7 linked regions of the Rattus norvegicus genome follow. The protein of the gene in region 4 purifies or fractionates together with the protein of the main gene of each other region. This does not show direct contact. Links are inferred from orthologs where the notes say so. Each region holds a gene or a part of one and is shown on either strand. Other genes may lie near its edges.

What was found.
Region 1: the proteins of Snrpa1 (region 4) and Prpf8 fractionate together in Homo sapiens (co-fractionation; 3 studies listed by BioGRID, with this or other methods). This does not show direct contact. The link is inferred for Rattus norvegicus from reciprocal best matches to the Homo sapiens genes SNRPA1 and PRPF8.
Region 2: the proteins of Snrpa1 (region 4) and Sf3b5 purify together in Homo sapiens (affinity purification with mass spectrometry; 5 studies listed by BioGRID and IntAct, counting the BioPlex papers as one, with this or other methods). This does not show direct contact. The link is inferred for Rattus norvegicus from reciprocal best matches to the Homo sapiens genes SNRPA1 and SF3B5.
Region 3: the proteins of Snrpa1 (region 4) and Srrm2 fractionate together in Homo sapiens (co-fractionation; 3 studies listed by BioGRID, with this or other methods). This does not show direct contact. The link is inferred for Rattus norvegicus from reciprocal best matches to the Homo sapiens genes SNRPA1 and SRRM2.
Region 5: the proteins of Snrpa1 (region 4) and U2af2 fractionate together in Homo sapiens (co-fractionation; 3 studies listed by BioGRID, with this or other methods). This does not show direct contact. The link is inferred for Rattus norvegicus from reciprocal best matches to the Homo sapiens genes SNRPA1 and U2AF2.
Region 6: the proteins of Snrpa1 (region 4) and Sf3a2 purify together in Homo sapiens (affinity purification with mass spectrometry; 8 studies listed by BioGRID and IntAct, counting the BioPlex papers as one, with this or other methods). This does not show direct contact. The link is inferred for Rattus norvegicus from reciprocal best matches to the Homo sapiens genes SNRPA1 and SF3A2.
Region 7: the proteins of Snrpa1 (region 4) and Cdc40 purify together in Homo sapiens (affinity purification with mass spectrometry; 3 studies listed by BioGRID and IntAct, counting the BioPlex papers as one, with this or other methods). This does not show direct contact. The link is inferred for Rattus norvegicus from reciprocal best matches to the Homo sapiens genes SNRPA1 and CDC40.

What each region holds. Positions count from the first base shown.
Region 1 is NC_086028.1:60,843,181-60,846,892, reverse strand, and holds part of Prpf8 (pre-mRNA-processing-splicing factor 8), read right to left. Parts: intron 2,991-3,712; coding exon 2,743-2,990; intron 2,635-2,742; coding exon 2,455-2,634; intron 2,272-2,454; coding exon 2,136-2,271; intron 2,022-2,135; coding exon 1,852-2,021; intron 1,696-1,851; coding exon 1,566-1,695; intron 1,467-1,565; coding exon 1,320-1,466; intron 1,090-1,319; coding exon 929-1,089; intron 276-928; coding exon 84-275; intron 1-83. UniProt on the Homo sapiens protein: Plays a role in pre-mRNA splicing as core component of precatalytic, catalytic and postcatalytic spliceosomal complexes, both of the predominant U2-type spliceosome and the minor U12-type spliceosome.
Region 2 is NC_086019.1:9,175,793-9,178,408, forward strand, and holds Sf3b5 (splicing factor 3B subunit 5), read left to right. Parts: upstream 1-1,396; 5' UTR 1,397-1,541; coding exon 1,542-1,802; 3' UTR 1,803-2,109; downstream 2,110-2,616. UniProt on the Homo sapiens protein: Component of the 17S U2 SnRNP complex of the spliceosome, a large ribonucleoprotein complex that removes introns from transcribed pre-mRNAs.
Region 3 is NC_086028.1:13,318,447-13,322,888, forward strand, and holds the start of Srrm2 (serine/arginine repetitive matrix protein 2), read left to right. Parts: upstream 1-1,612; 5' UTR 1,613-1,914; exon of another isoform or gene 1,915-1,927; intron 1,928-3,535; 5' UTR 3,536-3,657; intron 3,658-4,442. UniProt on the Homo sapiens protein: Required for pre-mRNA splicing as component of the spliceosome. As a component of the minor spliceosome, involved in the splicing of U12-type introns in pre-mRNAs.
Region 4 is NC_086019.1:129,058,509-129,062,220, forward strand, and holds part of Snrpa1 (U2 small nuclear ribonucleoprotein A'), read left to right. Parts: intron 1-1,799; coding exon 1,800-1,846; intron 1,847-2,060; coding exon 2,061-2,163; intron 2,164-2,735; coding exon 2,736-2,815; intron 2,816-3,198; coding exon 3,199-3,274; intron 3,275-3,712. UniProt on the Homo sapiens protein: Involved in pre-mRNA splicing as component of the spliceosome. Associated with sn-RNP U2, where it contributes to the binding of stem loop IV of U2 snRNA.
Region 5 is NC_086019.1:77,804,433-77,808,683, reverse strand, and holds the start of U2af2 (U2 small nuclear RNA auxiliary factor 2), read left to right. Parts: upstream 1-1,392; 5' UTR 1,393-1,469; coding exon 1,470-1,518; intron 1,519-4,251. UniProt on the Homo sapiens protein: Plays a role in pre-mRNA splicing and 3'-end processing. By recruiting PRPF19 and the PRP19C/Prp19 complex/NTC/Nineteen complex to the RNA polymerase II C-terminal domain (CTD), and thereby pre-mRNA, may couple transcription to splicing.
Region 6 is NC_086025.1:9,563,251-9,567,477, reverse strand, and holds the start of Sf3a2 (splicing factor 3A subunit 2), read left to right. Parts: upstream 1-1,278; 5' UTR 1,279-1,317; intron 1,318-3,712; 5' UTR 3,713-3,748; coding exon 3,749-3,874; intron 3,875-3,983; coding exon 3,984-4,055; intron 4,056-4,227. Other genes in the region: Plekhj1 (pleckstrin homology domain-containing family J member 1), read right to left, coding at 334-400, 641-890, 1,004-1,182. UniProt on the Homo sapiens protein: Component of the 17S U2 SnRNP complex of the spliceosome, a large ribonucleoprotein complex that removes introns from transcribed pre-mRNAs.
Region 7 is NC_086038.1:45,905,062-45,909,570, reverse strand, and holds the start of Cdc40 (pre-mRNA-processing factor 17), read left to right. Parts: upstream 1-1,592; 5' UTR 1,593-1,608; coding exon 1,609-1,797; intron 1,798-4,509. UniProt on the Homo sapiens protein: Required for pre-mRNA splicing as component of the activated spliceosome. Plays an important role in embryonic brain development; this function does not require proline isomerization.

The sequences.
Region 1 (3,712 bases), on a different chromosome or scaffold from region 4:
AATGAGATCCCACTTAAATAAATGAAACGAATACAGAAAGTGCAGGGCTAATGGCAAACCGATGCTTCTGAGCCCTAACTCACCTGTGTAGATTATAGGCCAGATCAATGGCAATGAGCACACCTGTGGGTGAAGGGTAGATACTCATGTTGTCTGTGGTGTAATCCAGGAACTTGGCCCGGGCATAGCGCTCAATATCATGGGAATCATAGTCCCCCCAGCGTAACTGGATGTCAATCCAATACTTCTGTGTGGTGGTGCTGTCCATCACATCCCTAAGGGTAGGGGAAAAAGTTCAGGTTTTCAGGAAACCACAGCATAACCACCATCTCAGACTCATGAGAACTCCCAACTGCACCTAAATCTCAAAATCATCCCTCCTCATTGTAGATCAGCAAGACCCCTAGCCGTTCAGTAATGGTGCTTGGCTTTAACCCCAGCACTTGTAAGGCAGAGTCAGGTGGATGGATCTCTGAATTCAAGGCCAGCCTGGTCTACAGGCCAAGTTCCAGGACGGGCAGGCTACATGGAGAAACTGTGTCTCAAACAGAAAAAAACAACAAAACAAACCACAAACAAACAAACAAACAAATCAGCAAGACCCCCCCCCCCCCCCCAGGAAACGGGTAGGTCTGACTGCTGATGGGTTACAAGGGCTAGCACTGCCTCCAAGTTTAAAAGAATGTCAACCAAAAGCTGGGAATGGTGCCCACTTTTGTACAGCGAGCATTTGGAGGGGCTGAGGCAATAGTATTATAAGGTTAAAGCCAGAATAACAAAACAAAAGAGGCAGGGCTAACTCTTTTAAGTTACATGCTTATCGGAGTTGGGGATTTAGCTCAGTGGTAGAGCGCTTGCCTAGGAAGCGCAAGGCCCTGGGTTCGGTCCCCAGCTCCGAAAAAAAAAAAAAAAAAAAAAAGTTACTTACTTAGAGTCTGCCAGCAGCGAGGGCCGGGAGACATTCCACTTATAGGAAGCAAAGAGCAGTATATCTGCACAGGAAGAGTTCATCTTGTAGGATTTTCGGGGATGGATTGTCTCCTTTTGTACTGTCTCAATTTCCAGGGCATCTAATTCCTGGTCGAAGACCTAGAAGTAAAGATGAGAAATCCACATACACTGAGAGCTGAGAGAATTTAGATGAGGCAACAGAGTCTAATCCTTGCCTGTCCAGGATAAATTTTCCCAAGCTGGCTATGCGTGGCAGTGCATAATCTAAGCCCTTGGGAAGCAGGTTAGGTAGCCAGCCTAAGGATCTCCAGGCCAAGGCCACACAGACGGATGTGACTGTGTGATGTCACCCCTCAGCGGCAGCTCACCTGACACAAGTCCATCACGATGCTCTCATGAATCTTTTGCCACAAGTGAGCTCGGAAGATCTGGATGAGAGAGATCTTCAGCGTGGGGATCTTGCCATGCATAAAGATTCCTGTCAGGTCCAGCTGCACCTGGAAGCCTACGTATACCTGCCAGGAAAGAGAGAGACCAGAGACCAGCTCTTAGGACAAAGATAAAGGCGTAAGAAACCCCTTTCCCCATCTCCCTTGTGGAAGAATCATACTCACATTGGCTCGATTGATTGTTGGGGACCACCAGAGAGTAAATCTACGATTAGGAATCTGGTTTAATCCTGATCGCTGAGCATTGGTCAGCTTCTTCCACTTCATGGATTCCTCAAACCCGCTGGCTTTCTCCCTGATGAACAGAGGAATTAAATGAGATGCTGCCCATCCCCCTCCCAGAGGTGCCTAACCCTCACTGGGCTAAGTAAGAAGCAGCAGGCTACCACAGCACAGAAGTGCTGAGCTCAGAGAGTTGTGACAGATCCCTGTAAGGAGGCAGAGTCCTTACCAGAACAGACCTTCCCAGGTTGGGAAGTAAGTGCCCTTGAAGAGAGTGTGTTCCAGAATGCCCTCCACACCGCCCAGTGCCTGGATCATGTCTGTGCGGTAGTTGTTGAGGTTCCAAAGCTTGCCATCATGCCGTTGATGTGTCCACCAAAAGGGGTTCTGCTTCAAAACCTAGAGAGTAACGCAAGTACAGTGAAGCCTCTGGGTGGCCACCACTCTCAGTGACAGGGATGCCAAAGCTATCCTGATGGGGAGAAAACTTGCTCCACTCTCCACTCTACACACCTGGTACTGCTTAAAGTCAGTTCGGACACGCCAGCCTTTATCATAAGCCAATGTGTGCCGATCTTTCTGGAAGAGGGTATTGATCCGGGGAATGCCCCGATCCCACGAGTCTTCTAAATCTTCTAAAGTCAAGCGTCTGCCAGAAAAAAAGAGTCAACATCTTTTCTCACAAAGAGCAAGCATTCAATATTCTTTGGCCAAGGATAAACAGAATCAGTCTTAACTCCTAAAAACATACTCTGCCCATGACCTCCACATAAGATTCAAAGTGTTGTGAGCCAACCCCCAGCTCTGACTGGCACACCCTCTGCATGCCCACCTGTTCTGAGCAATAGCCTCCTGTCGCTTGAGTGCATACTCAGCCCAGACCCGCTGGGAGTCAATGAATTCACTCTCCCATGGCTGTATGTAGCGGTACAAGTTGGGAATCAGTTGGTCTTCTTCATGACTCATTCCTGAACGAAAGTGTGTGATGCCCACATCTGTTTGCTTGGACCACCTGTTCAGAAAAATTGAGACAGGAAATAAAATTAAAGTCAAATGTAATCAAACACTCATTTCCCTCAGAGTTGAAATAATGAAATAATGAAGGTCAGTCACACTATACCTGAGGTCAGACTGGGGGATAAGGACATGGCCCATCGAGAGCATGCCAAGCCCACCCAGCTCCTTAGGGGTGTAGAATACAACAGGGGGGAACCGACTTGGCATCTTGGAGTTCAATCCAATCTTGATACGTGTCTGGATCTTGTTTTCACACTTCACCAGTAAGTCTAGGAGTTCCTGTGTATTCACCACAGCCTCTCGAAAGTATGTCATAAGGCCAATGAGAGCTGTATTCCACTTATTCACAATCTAAAGTTAGTGGAAAAGAGTAAATTTCACATGAGCAATGCAGGTCTTGCAGTTACTAGTTAGTTACTTACATCCCTAATGTAGGGGTTGGGGATTTAGCTTAGTGGTAGAGCGCTTGCCTAGCAAGTGCAAGGCCCTGGGTTTGATCCTCAGCTCCGGGAAAACAAACAAACAAACAAACAAACAAACAAATCCATATATCCCTAATGTAAGGATTAGTTTAAAATCATTAGTAATTACAGAAAATAAAAAAAATATAAGATACTACTTCACACCCACTAGGATAGAAACAAATGAGAGAGGGATGACTGAGTCACTCTGATGGCTCAGTGGGTAAGACTGTCACCAAACCTGAAGACTCGAGATTAATCCCCAGAACCCACATAGTGAAGGAAAGAGCCCACTTCTTCAAGTTTCTTCTCTAACCTCCACATGCACTCTGTGGTCTATACCCACCCAAACAAATGTAATACAAAGTACTTTTTAGTGCTGGGCATGGCAGTATGAGGCTTTAATCTCTATGAATTTCAGGCTAGCCAGTGATACATGGTAAGACCCTGTTAGTTATTTTAAATACAATATTCCTTTCAGAATAACATAAACTTGGGGTAGGGGCTGTCAGATCAAAGAAGGAAACAGCACTGCTGACTGCAGGAAGACAAAGAACTAATCAGGAAGGCAGCCTTTGACCTTACAAAGCAAACAGAGCTGTCAGTCAGACT
Region 2 (2,616 bases), about 120 Mb from region 4:
CCCCAGCTCCGAAAAAAAGAAAAAGAAAAAAAAAAGATGTGTATTGTGTCATTTAAGTGTTGGGTGCTGCTTGTTTGGTTGGTTGGTTTTATTTTTCGGGACAGAGTTTCTCCCTGTAGGCCTGGCTCTCCTGGAACTCAGAGAGCCACCTGCCTCTGCCTCTAAAATGCTGGGATTAAAGATGTGTGCTGCCGGGGTTGGGGGATATAGCTCAGTGGGAGAGCGGCAAGGCCCTGGGTTCGGTCCCCAGCTCCGAAAAAAAGAAAAAAAAAAAAAAGATGTGTGCTGCCACCACCTGGCAAGATGCTTTATGACAAAGTTTAGACAGAAGAATAAATATTAGATGGAGTTGCACAAGTCTCTAGTCTCAGGAGTCAGGAGGATTGCTGTGAGCTCAGGGACAAAACTTCGCCTCCCCCCTCTTACATCAAATAAACAAAAGTACCCCCAAACTCCTGTATTTTCAATTTGTCTGTCATCATCCATCCTCTCTGGCTATGATTGCTCTTACCCCATTCTTAAGATTTTTTTTTTTTTTTGAGAATACAATCTTCATCACGCTATTCGCATATCCTCAGGGAGTACCATGAAAGAAGTACAATTATCTTTTTCTGAGTAGTTTGTACCATGCGAGAAAGTGCACAACCCCCAACATAAGGCAGAAATCAGCAGAAAAACACAAGATGAAGAGAAAGAGGTTTCTTGTCTCGAGCCATATCCGACTTCAAGGAATAGCCTATGAATGACCTTAAAGAGGGGTTGTTTGCCCAAGGCCACAGAGCCTAGGTGGGTTGAGAAACTGGCGCCTGGAACTCCTTAGGGAAGCCATTAATGAGACTACCAGTGCTGACACTGATCAACAAGCAGCTAGCGAGAGTCAAAAAACAAAACAAAACAAAACAAAAAAAAAAAAAAAAACAACAAAAAAAAACTTTTCCCGGTACCCAAATCCTAAGAGACAAAACTTGGGCCAAGGCGGAACCATGCCACCATGTTAACTTCTAGGTACAAGAGTTAGTTTTCCTCGTTGCTCATACTGTTGTGTTGCGGCAGTATGAGATTTCAATGACAGTGGGATTATGAAACCCACGTAGGTTTCTCCTTCTTTGTAGCCCGGAGCCGTGGGATGAAGCTTCGAGGTTTTTGGACATTGTCCTATATAAGCCAGGCAAAACCCCTCAAAAACAATCTAAGACAAACTCTTTGGACTACATGTCCCAGAATGCAACGCGAGGGTTAGAACGTGATCACCCAAGAGCCACTAAGAGGACCATCATGCAACGCTCTTCGAAGTAGGCGGGCTCCGTGAGGAGACGGCCCACTGTTTCCTAGGCAACCCCAATCCCGCAACAGACTTTATTTCCCCTTCCGCCTAGGAAAAGAAAGTACTCCTGCGACTGCGTGTCGTCTTTCTCCTGCGCCAGCACGAATAGAGCTTTTGTGCGGCGGCAGCGGCGGCGGCGTCTCTCTGATTTGAACGCCGAACAGCGGTAGCTTCTCATCTGTGGCCTGACCTCGAAGCCTAAGAACAGAGCGGCGAGATGACGGACCGGTACACCATCCACAGCCAGCTCGAGCATCTGCAGTCCAAGTACATCGGCACGGGCCACGCCGACACCACCAAGTGGGAATGGCTTGTGAACCAGCATCGGGATTCCTACTGCTCCTACATGGGTCACTTCGACCTCCTCAACTACTTCGCCATTGCTGAGAATGAGAGCAAAGCGCGCGTGCGTTTCAACCTGATGGAGAAAATGCTGCAGCCCAGCGGGCCGCCGGCGGACAAGCCGGAGGAGAACTGAGGCGAGCGCTTCCCAGCCTTCCCCATCTGCCATCTGTGGACCGATCCTCCTGACTCCTGCTTCTCGACCATTCTCCGTTGGGTGTATCGCCTGACCTGCTTACCTGTGGACGGTTCCGAACAAGTCATCGAGAGACTGTCGGGTCTCCTGGGAGCTGTGCGGAAGGAGTGATCCCAGAATCGGCAAGCGAGGGAGAAGACTGCCTGGGAGTGATGACGCATTCCGAGTCAGCTTTTCGATAGTTGATGTCGTTCTCGCCTTTTTTTTTTTTAAATATATATCATACATAAAGTTAGGATTTGTTATATCTTTTGGTTTGAATTGCTGTGTTCTTTGGGAGGTATTTGGAGAGAGTTCTGTGGATCAAGATTTCGTGAGAATATGACTAGAAAACGGGGGCGGAAGCACAGGGCAAGCGTTTATTGACAAGTACTTTAGTTGTCACACACACTTTTATGATCTTCCCTCACCTCGATTTTCTTCATGCCTACAGTGTGTCTGGTACCAAGGAAACCTTCAAGCATGGAGTTTTTCCACATTCCTTCCCACCCATTTCTAGTCTTTGCTGTCATTAACCTCACTTCCCTTTATGCTGCAGCCCCCTCCCCCCTTTCTTGGTAATTAGTTTGTGTGTCTTCAGAAATGACAAACTGGCAAACAATGGTGTCCTGTCCCGACCCTGCTCCACCTCTCCCCATTCAGTTTTCACCAGAGCATTTTCCAAAGGTTTGAGGACATACATTATGCCGGCCAGTTTGGAAGCAGATATGCTAAACTAGTCAAGAGTTAGAAGATGGAGGGGGATGGGGCAGCT
Region 3 (4,442 bases), on a different chromosome or scaffold from region 4:
TTCAATTCCCAGCAACCACATGGTGGCTCATAACCATCTATAATCAGATCTGGTGCCCTCTTCTGGCCTGCAGGAATACATGCAGGCAGAAAGCTGTATGATGTATACATAAATAAATGTTAAAAAAAAGATTTATTTATTTATTATATGTAAGTACACTGTAGCTGTCTTCAGACACACCAGAAGAGGGCATCAGATCTCATTACAGATGGTTGTGAGCCACCATGTGGTTGCTGGGAATTGAACTCAGTACTTCTGGAAGAGCAGTCAGTGCTTTTAACCACTGAGCCATCTCTCTATGCCTATTTGTGTTTTTTTTTTAATGTTAACTTGTACAAAGAGAGGTAAATAAGTGTAAAAGAAATAAATAAAAGCAGTGAATTAAAAACTCACATTTTTGTTTGAATTGAATAGCACAAGACTGTATTCCCAGTCATTCAGGAGGCTGGGACAAGAGAATTACAAGTTCATGGTCAAACAGAAGACATCTAGTGATACACTATGTCAAAATAAAAGGTTAAAAGAAAAGGCTAGACATGATGGTGTGAATGAAAATAAGTATCAGATTCCTCCTAGATATGGTTGAGGAGAATGTTTTTATTGTAGATATGAGGGGGAGAATGGCTAGAGGCATCTGGAAAGATCCAGACTGAATCTGGCCATGAGGGGAGAGACAGAGGGACAGAGACCAGGAGAGGGAGAAGAACCAAGAAGCCAAAAGAATGGAAACCAAGAGAGTTCCTGGGCTGGGCTATATAGGAATGAGAAGATGGGGAACATAAGGGGATCTCAGGGGCTGGAGGCTTTAGGATACAGAGTGGCGAGGAATGCTCAGAGAAGCCAGGACTCTAACAGGTGCTAGTTTTGCTGAGGGGCTTGACGACCCTATTAGCTTTGATAGATTAGTAGCCACCTCAGCTCTTTGTTTCTCCTGTAATCCCAGCGTTTAGCAGGTTAAGAGGATGGTAAAGCCAGCTTCCACTTACTTAGCAAGTTGGAGGCCAGCCTGGGCTGCCTGAAATTCTGTGTCCAAAACCAAAATCAACCAAAAAAAAAAAAAAAAAAAAAAAAAAACCCAACACATCACAGTGGTAATGTATTAACACCCTTAGCTTCATGAGACCCTGTCTAAAAACGAAATCCCAAAAGTAAAAGTAATAAAGAAGTAATATTAACGACATGTTCGTGTGGAAAAATCAAGGCATCAGTATTTTATCCCACCTCCAACCCCACCCCATTTTTACTTCTATTTCCTCCTCTGCCTCATGGCCTGTCACAGTGTCACTCTAGGATGGTGGCTCACTCCTGTAATCCTAGCACTTGGGAGGCAAAGACTGGAGGAGCGTGAGGCCAGTCTGGATTTCTAGCAAGCACCAGGGTAGCCTGAACAGTTTCAAAAAAATAAAACAAAAAACAAAAAAACCAAGCGACTGTGAGGGACTCCGGAGCCCGCATGCTCCGGCTCTCATGGCAGCTGGAGCAGTTGTGCCTTTGTTCTGAGCGCCCGGGTCCGCTGTTTGAGAGTCTAGGGCAACCCTGCTCCAGCCGGTTCCCCAGTCCCTGAGTCCTCCTTAGGGCGACAAGGAGGCGGCTGCGGGGGTCCTGGGCTTCCGCTAAGCGTTGGAGGAGGAGGAGGAGGAGCAGCGGCAGCAGCGGTGGCTCGCCACACTGTTCTCAGCTGGAATCCATTAGGCCTGGAGGATTTTCGAGAAGAGGAGGCTTGGATATCCTGGAGATAGACCCTGGGAGGCAGCGTCTCCCTTTACTAATCCCGGGAGTGCAAAGTACCTCTGGGTTGTCGTTCTGTCAGTCAGCTACCTGGAAGCTACCTGGAACAGGAATCCGGCATTTTCACATCCTGTTGTTGCAATGCCACCAGTGTGAGTCCACTGAGGAAGAGCAGGACAAAACGAGGTACTTGGAATGGGCTTATTTCTGGTGGGCAGAAAGGGATGACAGAGTTAGTCACCAGGGCTCAAGAGAGTGTCAGAGTGGCACTGTGTGTCCTTCACTTGTAGTGCTGAGACCGCCCCCCAATCCCTGCCCTCCACCCCACCCCTCAGGATGCACAGGACCCATAGACCAGTGCTCTGAAAAACAGCCTGCTCCCAGTCGAGGGCCCAGCCCGACCTGCACTAATCTGGTGACATCCTCTAGGAGGAGCAAGAACAAAGCCAGAGGTTATCAGTTCCTGCAGTGCAGAACACTGTTCTCTGAGCACAATGGCCTTTGTCGTGTTTTTGTCGATATGTATATGTGTGTGTGTGTGTGTGTGTGTGTGTGTGTGTGTGTGTGTGTGTGTATGTGTGTGCGCGCATGTGCAGATGCCCACAGAGGCCAGAGGAGCTGGATCCCTCCTGGGCTAATATTACAGGAAGTTGTTACTGGGAACCAAATTCTGGTCCTCTGAAAGAACAGTGTGTGCATGCCTCCCTCCCGCCCCTAGACGTGTGGTTTTTGAGACTGGGTCTCATAATGTAACATTCACTGGCTTAGAACTGTGCAGACCAGGCTGACCTTAAACTCATAGAGATCCACCTGCCTCTGCCTCCCAAGTGCTGGGACTAAAGGCCTGCGCCACCACTGCCTGGCACTGTTGTCATCTTGATCAGAGGGGCTATGACAGTTCCCCAGAAACCCCCAAGGTAAGATCTGAGCCTTTCCTTCCTGTCAGCTGTTTTTGATTATTGTGTTATTGTGTGCGTGTGTCAGCCTTTTGAAGACAGGGTTTCACTCTGCGCCCCCCCCCCCCCCCCCCCCGGCTGTTCTAGAACTCACTCTGCAGACCAGGCTGGCCTCGAAGATCTGCCTGCCTCTGCCTCCCGAGTGCAGGGATTAAAGGTGTGCACCACTACCACCCTGTTGATTTTGTTGTTGTTACTTTTTTTAAAAAAAAATTATTATTTTTTATTTATATGAATACACTGTAGCTGTCTTTAGACACACTAGAAGAGGCCATTGGATCCCATTACAGATGGTTGTGAGCCACCATGTGGTTGCTGGGATTTGAACTCAGGACCTCTGGAAGAGCAGTCAGTGCTCTTAACCACTGAGCCATCTCTCCAGCCCTGTTGTTACTGTTTGAGACTGGGTTTCTCTATGTACCCCTGACTGTACTGGAACTTGCTCTGTAGACCAGGCTGGCCTCCAACTCACAGAGATCTGCCTGCCTCTGTGTCTCGATAGCTGGGATTAAGGGATTGCACTAACATCACCAGGGATGTGCCAGCTGTTTTATTACTCTGCCCCAGCTGCGTGTGGTCTCCGTGTCTCAGGAGGTAGCATGTGTATAGGTGGAAGGTTAACTGACGTGGGGAACCTCATCTAAGCTGCTGGAAAGTCATCATCAAGGTTGGGGTGAGATATTTGTGTAGTGAAGCTGTTTCAGGGTCACCCATACTCCCATAAGTAGCCTCTCTTTCATACTCTGTAGATAAGCTCAACAAACTAACTGGTTCAAATCACCCGATTTTGGTACTTTAGCCTGTCATTGGTGCCTGTTCCGGGCAAGTTAACTTTGTTTTCGTCTCCCCAGGAAAGTTCCTGAAGCACTTCCTGTGTCTGACCATTGTCCCTCCAACACGCTGTAGTGTGACTTGGGTCTGTAATCAAGCGAACGGAAGGGAGGGCAGAAGCCACCAGGCAGACTGTAGACAGGTACGTGCTACTATGTCTTCCTCCGTCTCTTGTTTTGTTCTCAGGCATTACTGAGACCTGGTATGTGTGTGCGCGTGCACACACGTGAGCACCTGGGGAGACGCCGGAGGTCAACCTTGGGTATCATTCCTTCGGTGCCACCCGCTTTGTATGTATGTGTGTTTTAAATTTATGTGTATTTATTTTGTGTGGATAAGCATGTGGAGGTCAGAGGACAGTTTGTGGGACTCAGTCCTTCCCTTCCTATGAGGGTCCCTGAAACAGAACTCAGGCCACCATGTTGGTTAGCAGGTGTCTAACCCACTGAGCCATATTGCCTGCCCTCCTTGTCTTCTGAGACAGGTCTCCCAGTGGGATCTGAAGCTTGCTGATTAGGCTTGGCTGGCTGGTTGTTAAGTCCTAGGGGCCCACAGTCTTGACCTTCCAACTGTTGAAGCTACAAGCGGGCACCATCATGTCTGGCTTTTGTTTTTACCTGGATTTTGAAGCTTGAATTTGGTCTTCCTTCTTGCACAGCAAGCACTTTACTGGCTGAGCTGTTTCCCCAGCCTCCCCTTTTCCTTTTAGTAAAGGCATTAGTCACGGATTTAAGGTCTGACCTAAATTCATGACGTCTTCTTAAGACCCCTTAATTATATACGTTTATATACATATATATTTTTTTTTCTTAATTATATCTGCAAAACCTGTTATCTGGGGCCAGACTACATGTCTGGGTGGACATACGTTTTGAGCAAGACTGCTCAAACTGCTTTACTGCATGACGCAACTTTTCAAATGAAAAC
Region 4 (3,712 bases):
GTGTGTGTGTGTGTGATTCGTTTTCATTCCTTTTGTATTTTTATGGTAGTAAGCCAGTTTTCAAGCTCTAGCATTCCCTCTGATTGTGTAAAGATGGCTTGTTTGCTTTCTGAAAATTCAGCTCTCTGTCATTGCTTTTTAAAATTATGAACCATTTCACAAAGGTACACATCCATTTTCAAGGCCACACTGACTTCTGTGTCCTTCCAGTTTTGGTGTGTATGCGGTAGAAGTGAGTATCCTGCTTTCATCTGTGCAGGGGTGAATTACTTAATTTAGGTCTATCCCAAGTTTTTATTTAGTGTAGGAATTTGTCCTGGAAGGAACACAGTTCGACCACCCAGGACTATATATATGTTTTAGTTAAGGTTTTACTGCTGTGAACAGACACTATGTTCAAGGCAACTCTCATAAGGACAACATTTAACTGGGGCTGGCTTACAGGTTCAGAGGTTCAGTCCATTATCATCAAGGCAGGAGCATGGCAGTGCCCAGGCAGGCCTGGTGCAGAGGTGCTAAGAACTTTGCATCTTCATCTGAAGGCTGCTAGCAGAATACTACTGTCTTCCAGGAAACTGGGGTGAGGGTCTTATAGCCCACACCCACAGTGACACACACACTCCAACAGGGCCACACCTTCTAATAGTGCCTCTTGGGCTGAGCATATACAAACCATCACAATATATATAGCAAAACTTTGTCCCAAATGGGAGAAGAGACCAGAAGCACGAGGATCCACATTTGCTATAGCCGCATCACACAATCTATCCAGATCTCCCTGTACTCACTATTGGAACATACAGATCCTTGGTAACTTCTCAGACTGAACATCTGTTGGTTATGATGGAATTCTCTGGTTTATTACATGCCTTCCTGCCTTCATAAACGCTTTGCCAGTCCTGTAGCTGGTATCCTTAACTATTCCTACTCTGAGATGTCCAGGAAATACCTTGTCTAGTTCAGTTGTAGCTTTTGAAGGTGGGTTTTTAGTGTTGCTATTTTTGTTTCATCAGTGGTTTCCAGGACAATTGGGAAAAGCTGAGAATATCCCTGGATGGCCTGAACTCACTACATAGAATAAATAGGCTGGCCTCAAACTCATTGACATTTGTCTGTCTCTGCCTCCCGAGGGCTGGGATAAAGACATGCGCCACCATGATTGGCATTCATAATTTTTTGAACTATACTATTCACCTTGTCTTTGAAGATGTTTGAAGAGATGGGGGCAGAGGTGATCTAGGATAACAGATATCGTGGCCACTTGGGATACACTAACAAGAAAAGACATTCTGCACCGGGTGTGGCGGTATATACACATAATTCCAGCATTTGGGAGGATCAGGATTGAAGACCATCCTAGGCTGCACAACAAGTTCAAGACCCCCCAGGCTATATGAGGTTCTGTCTCAAACATCAAAACCCCACATTAGACCAAGATCTTGGCTTGAGGTTCCTGTGAAAATAGCTTGCTCCAAGTAAGTCACTGGTATTAGCATTGGTTCCATTTTTGAATCACTGCTTAGTAGCCATGTTGAGATTGCTTTAGAAAATCAAATCTTTTTGTCTTCTGTTGAAGCAGATGTTGTTACTACCAAAGTTTAAGGAAGCTGGAGTATATTTATCAGTTTATTAGGTAGAAAATATTTAAGCAGTTGTGTTGTATTAATAATGGACTAGGTGCCAGAGCAATAAAAAATAAAATAGTGTAGATACTTGCTTCAGAGATACTTGCCATATCAAACTCTCAGGGTAGTGGTGTGCCTGTCAGCCCGGTCCTTACTATGACTCTTATTTTATAGGGTGATCTGGACCCATTGGCATCTCTCAAATCACTGACATATCTAAGGTATGGAAATTACTTGTGATGATATGACTATAGTCCTGAAATAACACCTCTAGCTTGGTAATAAAAAGCTCCCTCCTGGATGGCGTGTGTTACTCCTGACAGTGAAGTGGGAAGAGCGCACGCTGGCTCTTGGTTTATAGTCATTGCACCTCCAGCTGACTCCGCCTTACATCAGCTGTGGTGAGTGAGATTGGAACTGTCCCTTTTCTTACAGCATCCTAAGAAACCCTGTGACCAATAAGAAGCATTATCGACTCTATGTGATTTATAAGGTTCCACAAGTCAGAGTACTGGACTTTCAGAAAGTGAAACTAAAAGTGAGTATTGCTCACTGCTGTGAGGCATCACAGAGTTGGCCTTTGCTTTCATTGCCAGGTTTTTTAAAACTTGCTTATTAATAAGTAAATTTTGTTGTTACTTTGAAACTTAACCTGTGGGAAAGAAAACATTTAGTCAGGGTTGTTTGTTACTGTTTTTGTGGGGTGGTTTTGTTTTATTCTTAGCAGTTTGTGGTAGGGCTTTGTTGGTCATTCCAAAGTTGGCCAAACTTTGTAGTTGAACTACACAGTGAATTGTCTGCTTAGATGGATTTCCAATGGGGAGCATACTGTAATCCAGCTGTGAGCAGCCCTGCCTGTTAGAATGGCATTTCCATGTTGACGTGCTAATTCTTCTCTGGGACCACTCTTTGAAACTGGGGGGAGGGGAGGCTTTTTGAGAACTTTGCCCAAGAATGTTGGCCAATGTGTCGTCTAATTTAAAGTTGGCTTTTGGTGTTTTTACCAACCCAGAATACTTCAGAGAATTCTCTTCCATGTTTTCTGAGGAATGCATCTAAATGCATGTGGTATTCCTATTTCCATTAACTCTGTGTGTGGTGTTGCTGTAGGAGCGTCAGGAAGCAGAGAAAATGTTCAAGGGCAAACGGGGTGCACAGCTTGCAAAGGATATTGCCAGGAGAAGCAAAACGTAAGATACGGATATCCAACCTAACTCTCCTCCCCTTCAGAAACACTGTCTGACAGTGGCCTCCTGCAAAATTAATCCAAAGTGCGGTTAGCGTGGCGTTACCTTTGAACGATGGTGACTGACCATTCATGGTCTGCACATCACGGGAAATTTCTACCCGGTTAGCAGAGCATATATTTCGGTTTACGGTCTTAAATTTGATGTTAAACATCATGCTTTCTCTAGGAAGATGGATTGGGTGGTGTTTCTGAAGGAGAGAGTTCTTGTATCAGTTTGTTAACAAAGATAAGATACTACACTGGTTGAATTACTTTCAAAAGCTTTTGAAAGTAAGAGAAGCAGCTTGCACAGTCAGAATATAACAATTATATTCTCCTCCCCAGTTTTAATCCAGGTGCTGGTTTGCCAACTGACAAAAAGAAAGGTGGGCCATCTGCAGGGGATGTGGAAGCAATCAAGGTGAGGATGTATTCAGGTTGTGTGACTGGAGAGAGCCAGGTTGGGGCTGACAGTGGTGTCCTAGTACTGAGCCTTGTAGAGCCCATCTTCCCATAGTCCTAAGGACACTGGTATTCTAGTTCAGGAAAAAACTGCCTTAAAGCTACTCTTTGATCAGACTTTGATTTGAAGTAAATAGATAAAGTAGTTGAAGGCATCTGTATTCTTCTCCTTTTCCCAGGATCCATTTACTTCTTTGAGCAGTTAAGTACCTGGGTGTGCAGTCTTGGAGATTGCCTTAGTTTCTTTGCTTTCCAAGATTTGCTGGCTGACAATCCTGGTTGGAATGTAGGTAGAAAATCCTAAAGTCTCCAGTAACAGGATTCCAGACAGACTTAGCTTTTTAAGGGCATATGAAATGATCACTTCTCTTTTACAAGAGCCTGAATCTCCTCCTAA
Region 5 (4,251 bases), about 51 Mb from region 4:
AGGGGTGGCCGTCGCCACGGAGACCGGGACGGGAGCGCTCAGGCAGAGGCCTCTAGAGAGGTTGGGGAGGACAGGGTGTAATTAGCCCCAGGAGGCAGAGGTGGGAAGCGGAGCAGCAGCCTCTTTCTGGAGAAACTTTGAGGTAAGCCGACTTTTAAAATGCACCGGCTGGGGAATTGATTCAATGACCTCTAGTTGAGCCGGCCCCATGGAGGTACCAGGGGGCGCTGTGTAGACTCGTTTCCGTCCGCCCGGGGTTAGATTTCTCGTAGGTGGCACGTTCTGCGGTTGCGCAGCAGGAGCAGGGGCGGACGATTTAACGCGATTGCCATGGCAACCGGGAGAGGGCAGGCTGGTTAAACCGTCTTGAAGTTAGTGTCTACGGGGCTAAGGTTGGGGGTGGGGGTAGAGGTATGTTGGAGGAGATCGTGCGCACGCGCAATGTGGATTTAGAATGGCGGATCCTCCCGAGAGCGGAGAAAAACGTGCCTCTGACCGCTACGCAGGCGCAGAAACCCCTCTCAAATCACTGTGCGCAGGAGTCCCAAGCTGCGCTAACAACCTCCGCCGCGTCCTCGAACACCCTTTGTTCAACTGGCTGCTATTGTCCCGTACACCTTCTCTGGCCTTCCGCGAGGTCAGTTTTTTCAGTTTTCTAGAGAGCTAAGTGCCAAAGCTGAGACTCCGCCCCGTCCACTATAGCCATCTGGCCCACCTCTCATCTGTCCTCCCTCCCTTTTCGGTTCTTTAAGCCGAAAGGAGCCGAAACAACAGCGGAAAAAGCCGAATTTCCCCCCCTCCGTGCTGGAGGCCTTCCTGAAGCAGTGGCGGAAGGGAACGATATTCTCCGGAAGGGGCGGAGTGACCCTGTCGAACCTCCGGAAAGAGCCGAAGATTACAATCGGGTTTAATCTCTAGAGGGGCGGTGAGCGAGCGCTGGAAACCTTCGGAAGAGCCGAAGGCCTGGACGGTTAGGATTGTTGGAAGTGACTGACCGCTTGAACAGGGTCGGCGAGGGGTGGGACTAATTTCCAGAGGCGGCCAGAGACTGAGACGGTTTGAGTTGTAGGAAAACCCGTATCTTTAGAGGAGGCTGGTGTAGGGGAACGCGAGGACCCACGGAATCCTCCGAACGTTGAAACGCTAGTCTCCGAAAAGTTACCGCAACTTGGGCAGCCGGCAAAAATCCTCGCTTCGGGTGATTTCGAGGGCGACCGTCGTCTGCAGACTTCTCTCTCCGAGAATAGCCGACAGGCTTCGGATCTGAGCTCGGGGAAGTTCGAGGGGGGGTGGGGCGGGCGGGACGAGGGGGTGGAGTCGGGACGGGGCGGGGCTTGGGGCTTGCTTAGGTAGGCGACGGAGTGCCGGCGGGGGCCGGAAGTAGCCGAAGCCAGCGGCGGAAGTAGCCGGAGCGGGCGGGCGGCAAGGCGAGGCGAGAGCTGCACAGGGCCCTACGCGGCCGCCTAAGCATGTCGGACTTCGACGAGTTCGAGCGGCAGCTCAACGAGAATAAACAAGGTGAGGGCGCTGGGGTTGTGGGGTGGCTTCTTGCTTCGCCCTGTGCGCCCCCCCTGCCATTTCTCTTGTTCCCTTCCCTAGGGCCGCACGATTTACCCCCCCCCCCGTGCCGCGCGCGCCTAGCTCACGTGACCTCCCCTTGGCGCTGAGGGAAGGGGTGGCGGGCGAGGCTCACGGCGCGTGCGCGCCGCAATATCCCGCGCCCACGTGGTCTCGGTGGAGGCGGCGCGTTTTGTCAAGTAGGCGCATTGAGGGCGCGCCGCATTCCTCTTTGTGCATCTTTTTTGTTGTTGTTTTAAATTTTTGTCTTTTACTTGAGAAAGACATGAATTTAGGTCTCAATTCTTTTTCTTTTGCTGCCTTCGCACTTCCGCTTCCGGTCGGGCGTACTTTTCCTTTCTCCACGCCCCCTTTGTTTCCAAAATGGCGGTGGTGAAGCACACTCTCTCCCCCCCCCTCCTTCACGTGGACTGGCGCTGCAATCACTAGGTGCTTGTAGGTTTCGAGCCTGTTCATACTTTTCGATTTCTCCAGAACTCTCCTGTCTCGATGTTTCTGTCTCAGCCTCCGGTTTTGTGGCGTCTTAGATAAAAATGTGTCCTACACCTGTTTGCCCGCCAAAGAGGGAAGTCTCTGCGTTCTTTGTGCCCCTGCTGAGCATAAATCATATATGCCTTGGAGTTTGGGCGGCCGACATCTGTTTTTCATATCCCTAACACTCCCTAAACCTTTTGGTTTTAGGCAAAGCCCAGGTCCTGTATCATTCCAAACTCGGACACCTAAATCCAATCATACTGTAGGGATAATAAAATAATAATAAAATAGTCAAGCAAATGGGAAGTAGGGAGCTGGCCCATTAGTAGGTTAGTAGAGGCAGGTGCTCCTAAAGTAAGATCCTGTACTATGAATTTGGATCAGAAAGGCAGTCAGGCTATGTTGGTGCTGATGGATTTAGGAATCCCGAGGAAAGAGTTGAGTTATATATAAGATATAAGACATCTCTACAACCTCCTTTTTTGAGACTGAAGAGCTCAAATTTCTTAAGGATTGAGACTTAAGCTGCCTTGTGTTGGGGCATTCGGTGAGACCTTCAGAATTCTTCGAAATGAAGCTGGAATTGAGAGAGTAGTTGAAACAGTACATGTGGAAAAAGTAATTATTCTGAGTGCCCTTGTTGAGCTTTTCTGCTTTGAGTAGTGTACTGTTTAAAAGTATAGGCCTTAGAAATTGAATATACCTGAGTTCAAATATCTTTATGTATGGTAATTTGTTAGGTGTATGCTGATCATCACTGCTCTGTTTACTGGGTTTTTGAAATTAGTAATGGTGGTACATACTGACTATAGTTGTGATTAAACTCAGGCCTTACCATGTGTCAGGGCAAGGAAATTTGTTAAACTCTTAAAATCTCCCTCCCTCCCTCCCTCCCTCCCTCCCTCCCTTCCTTCCTTCCTTCCTTCCTTCCTTCCTTCCTTCCTTCCACAAGGTTTCTCTGTATAGCCCCAGCTGTCCTTGAGTCCTTGAACTTGTCCTACTCAACAGAGGTTCTCCTGCCTCTGCCTTCTGCATGAGACTTGAGCCACCATCATGCTCTAAACAGTCTTAAGTGAATCATTTGTAACAGCCTTCTGAGGACATACTAGCTTTCTGTTTATTGAGCAGTAAACTAGGGCTTATAAAGTTTTTGTTTTTTCTCTTAAGAAAAAAAGCTCCAGGCATTAGTCAGTGGAAAGCTGGAGCTGAGTTTAAATGGAGCAGAGTGTATATAGATTGTGTGGCTTGGATTATGCTAAATACCTAACTAGACTGGTGTCGAGTTGTAGAAGGGTGGGGAAAGTGGATGCCAAATGTTATTCCTATAAGACCTTGGTAATGTAGATGTGACCTTCATTCAAAGAAAGAAAAACTGGATGTTAAAGCTAAGTTCCTGCTTTTGTGTAGAGCTCTGACTGCAAAGCCAGTTCCTTGTGGTTCAGGTGGTTCAAGTGGAGCTGCTTTAGCTGTTTTTTGAGGCTGTGATACTAGTTCTAGAGTGTCCCTTCTGATGTTGGCAACGGGGCCTGAGACCCAGCCTATAAGGGTCGATTATTGGAGCTATGTGCATAAGACAGCTAGAGTATAGCATTTTGAGCAAATGAAGTTTCCTTTTAACGGTCCAGCATCAGTATGTGGGAGAAGGTTCTTGCCTTGCTGGAAGAAAGCTTGACCATCTTGTCACCTTGCCTGCCTGTGGGTATTTGTCTCTGACCCAGACTCACTGTATCTCTTAGCTTTAGCCCCCTTCTTAGTTCCCTAAGTTTACAGGAAGTTTGTGTCCTAGACACCTGGTGTTGTCATGTCATTTTTGGAGTTTGTTGTTTTTGCTTTTGAGACTTAGCGGGAGGGAAGACATTTGGGATTTGTAAGTAGCCCCTCTTCCTGGTGTGGAGCCAGAGCTGTGCTTGTCTCAATATTCCACAGTTCTTGCCCCTGTCTAGCTCTTGATTATTTTATTCTTTACATGTACATGCACATTCTTTGCTGTTAGTAGTTGAACCCAGACTCTGTAATGAGTGTTCTGCTTGGTCTTCGTTTGAGACTACAGCCTGGTACCTAACTTAGTGGCATTACAATTTCAGTCTTGGCTTCACTGTTGCCCAGCTGTTGGGCTTTGAGCAAGTCATGATCTCCCTGTGCCTCAGTTTCCTTATCTGCTTTATGAGCTTCTGACAGATTTTCCAAAGCACTAGTGAC
Region 6 (4,227 bases), on a different chromosome or scaffold from region 4:
GCAGCAGAAAGACCTCTCCAGAGGTGAAGGCTGAGACAGGTGTCCTTCAAGGCCTCAAAGCCCTGCCCGCACACTCACTCCCACGGCAGAGACTGCTTCAGTTATACACACCAAGTTCACAGACTGCACCTCTCTCGGCCGTAAACCGGCAGAGGATCGGGGAAGAAACTAAGATGAGAACCTGACCCAGTGGTCACTCTGAGTGACAGCTGGGACAGTCATGGGCCACCAGCGGACGCGAGATCCAGGACAAATGGAGATTCCTAAGGGAGTAAAAAGGATCGCGTGCGCGGAGCAGAGTCCGGGGTGGAAAGTGGGGAACAGAACACTTACTGATGGAGAAGCCTCCCGGCTCTTCCTGGGCCACTCTGCAGCGCTCCAGCAACAGGGCTCCGAGGGGCTGCGCGAGACACGGCCATGAGCACCGGCCTCTGGGCCGCGCGGGTCCCCCGCGCCCCCCACACCCCTACCTCGGCCTCGTCCGGGCGGAAGTAAAAGAGGAAGTTGACCACCAGCTTCACCAGCCGCCTCTTGGCCACTGCAGGCAGAGGGCGGTGTCAGCGCGCAACTGCTGTCATCCGCCCACCGGGGAACCCCGCGGCCCGCCCAAGTGTCCCAGCCCCGGCCCGGACCAGCTCACCGCTGCCCTTCTTGGGGCCCCGCATGCCCAGCTCGGCCGCCATCTCTGCCGGCTGCCGGGACAGCGCTTGCAACTCTTTCTCGTTGTACCGCATCTCGCCGCCCGGATCCGCGCGAACCAAAACGCGCCCTGCCTCTCGGCCGCCGTCCTGCCCGAAGCCGCTACTAGCGCCACAAAAGTCTCAGGAAGCGACCTCGTAAGTCCCAACGGTGCTACTGCGCCTGCGCGTTGTTGGGCGTGTTGCGTGACGCTAGTTGGTGGGTCAGCACAGTAGAACAAGGAGTCGGACGGGAAGGAAATCGCCCGTCCTTAAATAACCGTCAGACACACTGAACGTGGGGTGTAAATTTAGACTCATAGCACCTCACGATACGCGAAGCTCGTTCCCGGGCCTGTGAACCCTGAGGTTTAAGTCCTGTCGCGATAGTCAGCGCCAACAGAGTTAGGGCGGAGCAAGAATTCGTAGACAATGCAGTGCGCACGCGTACTCCGTGTCCCGGCGCTCTTTTTTTTTTCTCCCGCCTCCCGTAGGGGGAGTCCATTCGCTGGGCATGCGCACACATGAAACTCCGCCTTCCTTGCCCCCGGAAGTGATTGCTCAAGCGGTCGTGCGCATGCGCACAACAAAATCGCGGCATTCGGGGAGGTTAAGCCCAGTTACCGAGGCCTTGGTGTTGGTAAGGAACTACGCGGTTTGTCGGTGGCGGCTGCCCCGTCTGTGGGTCTTGAAAGTAGGAGCGAGAGCGTGGGGCCTGGCGGGGCAGCGGCCGCCCTTTCCCCTTAGGCGTGGCGCACCCTCGCCCTAAGAGCGCGGTCTCGCGAGGTCCTTTGAGTCGTGGCGTGATCGCGGACTTTTGTGGCGGTTCCGTGGCCTCTAGGGTGGTTCGGGTTCTTGGAATGTCATTTAACCTGCTTGTTTGCCTCAGTTTCCCTCGCCGTTAGTCAGGGCCATGGCGACTACTGCTCCTGTCCACTGTAGTAGGTCTGTTGCTCGGATTAAAAGATAACGGTATATGCATTTAAAAGTGATTTGCGGGGTTGGGGATTTAGCTCAGTGGTAGAGCGCTTGCCTAGCAAGCGCAAGGCCCTGAGTTCGGTCCCCAGCTCCGAAAAATAGAAAAAAGAAAAAAAAAGTGATTTGCCTTTAGACCAGGCAGGCCTTCTCCCAGACCGTGACCTTAACATATACTACTCTTCTGTTTCTATTGATCGTTCATCGGTAATCTTAGAGTAGTCCGTGAGGTCGCACGGCTCCCAACCATTCATCCTGGTCTCTTGTCCCAGGCTTCACTTGTGAGTCCATCCAGTCATCGGCACAATTTTACTTTATTTCAGACAGCGTCTCACGGCATAACTGAGGCTGACCTGGAACCCTGTGTGGACTAGGCCGATTTCGAGCTCACATACACTCCCATACCTCTGCCTCCCGCATACTGAGATTTACAGCGTGTGCCACTACACTTGACTGTTTTGTTTTAAGGAAGGTTTATTTTGACTGATAGTATGAAGGTGCAGTCCACTATGGTGGTCGTGTTACAGCCATAGTCAGGAAGCAGATAAAAGCTGGTATTGGAATCCCTTTCCCGTGTTTTTAAAGATTTTTTTTCCAAATGTGTGTCCATGTGGAGCTTCATGTGTGAGTATGATAACGTCAAGTCCAGGAGAGACTGTCAGGTTCCCTGGAGCTGGAGTTTCTGGTGGTTGTGATCTGCCACTAAGTCATCTTGCCAGCCTACCCAGCACCCTTTTGTCTTTTATTTGAGACAGATCTCACTGCACAGCCCAGTTTGGTCTCAAATTATACCCATCATCTTTCTACCTTGGCCTCTAAGGGAGCTGGAAGGAAATGTATACACTGCCATGCCCCATGTTTTCTGTTTCCTGAGGTTGGGAACTGTTGGTGGGCTGAGGCGGTAGTTCATTGGTGAGCGTTTGCAAAACTTTGTGCTCCATCCACTGGGCCAAGCAGTATGCTCACCCAGGCCAGTTTTATTCTGCTTTCCTTCCAAAGCTGATGAACTACATTTCTGCAGTGGATATCCATGCACTCAACCTCAAGCATGCCCCCCCAGGGGACCCAGTGCATGCTGGACAAGTGTTCTCCTTGAGTGGCACCGTCAAGTCTGTGGATGGACACCCAGCCTCCCTGGGGAGGCCAGCCACAGAGTCCTATGTTCTCAAGAGTTGTCTTTGCCTGAGCCTGGAGTGGTTTTCCATCCTGCTGCTGCTGCTTGTGGGTGCCCCTAACTCTGAGAAGCCAATTGATTCTCCCACCGTTTGGCTGTACTCTCGTGTCTGGCCAGCTTCATCTCTGGGAGTGTGTCTGTTGGTAGCTCTGGATGATGTAGACGATGCCCTTCTCAGTCTTTGGCTGAGTACAAAACATCTAATAGGCTGCTCCTGTCCCGCCACTTCAGTGTACACCTCTCAAGCCGTCCCTCTCAGCACCTAGAGCATCCTGTATCCTTTGCCTTCTGGCCTCTTCCTCCTTGACAGCCAGTGCTGTCAGTGGCCTGTCAGCCTTGAGCACACTCTAGTGACATTGTAGTAACTGGGTACCTGCCCTCAAGGTTCTTGGTCACATTTGTAGAGCCCCTTGTGCTATGGGAGGCACCAGTGATGATGACAAGAGCTGTCTCTACTTGTCTCCTGGTCGCTGGCCCTGGGTTTACTGTAGGTTTACCAGTAGACTGAGTAGTCTTAAGTGTTCTGCCTCAGGTAACACTGTCTGGAGGCTTTGGCTGAGCCTCCAAGGTGAGACCCTTGGTATCGAGCATTCCTTGTGTCAGGCAGAGGAGGGTGTGTCCTCTAATGCCAGCAGAGGTAGGCAGAGGCCAGCCTAATGTGTGAGGAGAGTTCTAAGATAGCCATGACTACGTAGAGACTCCTCCCTCAATAATAACAACAACAATAATAGTAATCATATGTTACATCAGGGAGAGGCGGCTCAATGGTAGTCACAGCACTTGGGAGGATCAGGAGGTCAGAGAAGGGATGGCTTGCATGCTGGGCCATCCCGCGGTCCTAGCATCATCAGCAGGGTTCTAAGCCTTAGTCTTCCTTGCTCCCCAGGTTTCTCCTGTCCCCTAAAGTACCCAGGCCTGCATCATGGACTTTCAGCACCGACCTGGAGGCAAAACTGGGAGTGGGGGCGTGGCCTCCTCCTCAGAGAGCAACCGGGATCGAAGAGAGCGCCTGCGGCAACTGGCCCTGGAAACCATCGACATCAATAAGGTGGGGGAGGGAGAGTCTCCAGGCCTGCAGAGCCCTCACCTTGCCCACCTTGGTCCTTGGGTCCCGGGGCCAGGCTGTGCGGTCTCACGGTACATTTCTTCACTCCCAGGACCCGTATTTCATGAAGAACCACCTGGGATCCTATGAGTGCAAACTCTGCTTGACTCTGCATAACAATGAGGTACCTGCCCACCAGACTTCCACCATTCTGCACTGGCCTGGTGACACTGGTCGGCCTTGGACCTGTCACCTGGAGCCAACCACTCCCTTAGTATTGCTCTGGTTTCCTTGAATTCCTTTTTTTCTTATCCCTGGGGGTCAGAGCTCAGCCTAGGGCTTAGCCATGCTGGGTA
Region 7 (4,509 bases), on a different chromosome or scaffold from region 4:
TATCTGGGTGGCACAATGGGCGAGTCCTGCCGACATCAGAGCCCAGCGAGCGTCTCCCTAACTCTGCCCGAGGAACCTCCCCATTCCCAGGCATCAGAAGAGCCGGCACCCTCTTTGCCTTCTCTTCCAAACGGGAATATAAAGGGATGCCTGGACTCGCTTTACCGTTGTCGTGCACAGGGAGCCGCGGCGCAAAGACGCGCGGCCAGAGCTCGCTTTTCGCTGGCACGCCGGGCGAGCCGGAGGCTCGGCCACTAGCTGCATGCAGCCTTCGCCGGCGCCAAGGCACGAGGGCGGAGCGGCGGAATCGGAACCCCGAACTCGGCGCCGCCGGTGAAGCCGCAGCTGCTGCACCCGGTGCAGCCTCTGCCCAGTCCCCGCGCCCGAGATCCCGCGCCTCGTCCTCCACGCGCAGCCCGGGCTGCTGGGCGGCGGGCGCGGGGGAGCCCGGGATGGGGGCGGGGGCGGCGCGCCCATCCACCGGCGCCGCCGCTGCAGACCCGGGTTCATCCACACGCCCCTCTCGGCTCCGGCCGGTGGAGAACAGTTACGTCGTCAAGACCCCCGTAAGAAAAAAAAGGACAAAATCCTGAGAGACTCCTGCTCACCGCGAAACCGTGGGGGGCTCGCGCCGTACCCCTTCTACATGCTTCGGCGGCTGCCGCCCGTCCAGCTCCGCGCTGGGACGCCACCAAGAGCCCCTCGGGAGCGTCGGGCTGCGGGATGGAAGCCGCGCCGGGCACTGGCTGAGGCGCCGGGCCGCCCGGAATGCCGCCGGGGGAGCCCACTGCTCGCCCGAGACGCGGTGCGCGCGACGCGCGAGCGAACAACACCGCGAGCCGCCGCTGCCCTGCGCCGCCCCCTCCCCGCGCGACGCTCCACAACCGGGCGCGGGGATCCGCGCCTGCAGCAGGGGGAGCCTCGGGGCGCTCTCCGCCTGGCCTCACGACCTTTCCGCGGAGCTGCGCCAGACGGGTCCCAGGTCTCTGAACTTAGAATTCGCATTCTTCCTTCGAATTCTGCAGGGCGGACGGCGGCATGGTGGGAGAAGTGAGCATCCACCCACTTACCGGTCCGTGGGCTAGAGGACGGCGCTTCCCCCTGTCCTGAGGCTCTGTGGTATTGCCCAATCCGCACTTTGGGGGAGGGGGCCGGAGAGAACGGTGCCCGGCTCGGGAATGAGGGAAGATGACATCCAATTGAATGAAGCATCCTTTTGGGGGCGGGGTCGAAGGCTGAGCCCCTCTGTCCGACTCCGCCTCCTCGCTCCAAACTACATTTCCCAGGGTGCCGCGAGCACCTCGCCGCGCTGTACGCCGGGAGTGAAGTACGGCGAGGCTTCAAACCCAGCTCAGGACCGGGTCTTTAATCAGCGAGGTCCTGAAAGTTACAAATAGTTGTAATCCCTCATGCTTCTTTAGATAAATGTTCGCGAATCTCAAATCCTGACACAGTCATCGTAATAATCATTAAGGTTTTTACGAGGAGTTAGAAATGATTTGTTATCAAAGGAGGTAAATAGCTTGTTCCATGACAATCTGTCAGGACCTGGGAGACGCTGCTTCTTCCGCCCTGGCCTGGCCATAGCAGAGAGTATCTGTTGCAGTCATGTCGGCTGCGATTGCAGCTCTAGCTGCTTCCTATGGCTCGGGTTCGGGGTCCGAATCGGACTCGGACAGTGAGGGCAGTCGGTGCCCACTGCCGGCCGCGGACTCTCTCATGCACTTGACCAAATCGCCTTCAGCCAAGCCCTCTCTGACGGTGGCGGTGGACTCGGCTCCGGAGGTGGCAGTTAAGGTAAGTGTTTTGGACACTAATGAGTTTAGGAATTGCTTTCAGCTCGTCTCGGGTTAGATGCTGGTCTATCTCGGCGCTGAGAAGTAAGTAACTAGCGTTTACACCTCTTCCCACTTCCTCCTTGACGATTGGAAGTACGAAGCAGCCCTCGACTACCTCCGATCCTTCGTGTCTCTGTCGGATAAAAGTAGTCCAAGAGAGGAGGAAAGTTTGAATATGTAGACTAGAATGTAGCCTTGTTAAAGCAGATGTGATTTCAGAACATGGATAATATTGGATCAAGACTTTCAAACTAGAATTTGTGCCCTCACGAGAAGTGAACCATGGCTAGGTACTGTTATTTTTTTTTATTTTTTATTTTTTTGAGGAACTCATCAGGAATCCTGACTTCGCCACTTGCAAATTACACAACGTTATCAGTTCAAAGAAAGAGAGGCCGCTTAAGCCAAAGCCAAGAGTTTCCAAACTTAGGGGAAGACTTGGTGTGTCTTGAGTCCCTCGAGAGCATCAGTCTGTAGTAAGCCCTGTGCAAATGATCAGTTTAAAGAGTGTGAAGAGGAAAACTACAGAGATTTCGAACTAAGATCTCCCTGTGTCTTGTTTGTGTCTTAAGTCATTGACAGTTTTTGATGAGCCATTTACGGAATGTTATTTCTTTAATAAGGACATCTGGCATGAAAGAACTCTGGGAACTCTATCTTTAGAACAACAGTGTGTTCCTTAGACATCCCAACTTTCCGTGCTGTTCCTTGTTCCCGGCATTGTCACAGGGCCACCCCCACCCCTACCCCAGCTCAGGGTAGGCTAGTCTTGGCTTCTTGACTAATTGCTTAGTGGAAATGGTGTCCTAGGTCTTTTGCAGTCGTGAGACGGTTCTGACATCTGAGTTAAATCTCTGCATAGAATAGTTTGTAATAATTCCCTTTTCTCTATGCATTTTTTCCTAAGACATCCACTGAGCTATCCTCAGCCTTTGGGTTCCCTGTTCTTCCAGCCCTGTCAGCTTTAGGGTTCCTTTGTCTAGGCTCTTATTTCAAGTTTCCCTCCACATAGTCTCTTATATTTTTAACTGCTGGTATATACTTGCCGTGGCTCACAGGTGACCACGGTGAAGAGGCTGACCTAGGCAGGAATCAAGATCCCAGTATTCGTGTCTACCTCTAGCGCTTAGCCGCGTGGCCCCTTGGGATCCATCACTTGATGATGAGCTCTGAGCCTTCTTACTCATTCGCCAAGTGTGTTAAGCTACCAGTACTCAAAAATGCAAAGCAGTTTTAGCTGTAACCGATTACATGTCAGCTGTCCTAGTAAACCCTTGCCTTAAACTCCTTGCCAATTTAAACGTTAATATAAAAAAAAAAAAAATCGGGCTGGAGAGATGGCTCAGCGGTTAAGAGCACCGACTGCTCTTCCAGAGGTCCTGAGTTCAAATCCCAGCAACCACATGGTGGCTCACAACCACCTGTAAAGAGATCCAATGCCCTCTTCTGGTGTGTCTAAGACAGCTACAGTGTATTCATATATAATAAATAAATAAATCTTAAAAAAAAAAAATCTCATCCAGGATGGCTCTCTCGGGCCCCTTTTGTGTGGTGTGCTAAACGCTTAAGTTTCTTTCTCCCTAAGTGCATGTTTGTATTCCGCAGTTTGGTTGATCCACATCCTGCTCACTGGCCCAAGCCCAATCATTTTCCTTTTCCTCAACCCCTGAAGCTAGTTAGTTGTTCAGCTGCTACGTCTCCTCCATCAGTTTTTTTTTATTTTTTTGGTTGGTTCGTTGGTTTTGGTTTTTTTTTCCCCCAACTCAGTTTCGTCCTTTCTCCTTTCCTTAGCACAGCTCCCATTAGCATCCTTCATTCCCCTAGGAATTATGCTTGACCTTTTCAGCCTTTGAGTGACAGCTACTTTCCCCACCATGACCGAGTGCTGCTGTTTAATCAAATGTCTCTTTCTTCCATTGCCACTGTTTCTTTCAGACTCTCATTTCTTTTAAAACAGTAATAACTTTCTGTGTGCTCCTTTCCAGCCTCGTCCTACTTCTTTCCTACACGGTGCATCGAGACTGTTCATTTCTGAATTCAGAACTCATCATTCACATCCCCGTCCCAAAGCATCGTGTTGTCTGTTAGATACGCATTCCATTCCTTATACAGTTTGTGAAGCCTGCAGTCCTGCTATGCCGAAATCTGTATAAAGCCCCACAAGTCTAATAATTTCCTCCCCTCCCTCACATATCCAAAGCTGTGCTTCCCAGCCTCACGGTACTTGTTCCTTCTATATCTATTTCTCTTCATCATAGCCCAGGGGCGTCACTTAACCACATCTCTAAGTTCGTTCCTGGGACCCAGAGACTGTTCTATCTCCAATGCCTTGTACACAAGAGAAAAACTAAAAGAAAAGGCCTTGACCCACATATAGACATTGAGAATCAGATTTGGAGTTGAGCAGGTACTGATCAGAAGGAAGCTGTCTTTTGAGCTTGTTCACTCAGTAAAGAAAATGAGGTGGAATCAACCTATAAGATGCCAGAGGTTCGTTCAGAGCAGGGCTAGATCCCCAGGTAGGTGGGCTCCATCATAGGAGATGAGCAGTGCACACCAGAGAAGAAAAGGTCCTGTGGAGTAAAGGTAATGCAAATGGTTAGAAAATTATCAAGGGAGGAATTGTGAAGCATGCAGATACATGTGTCTGTTTGACTGATTCTTTTGTGAC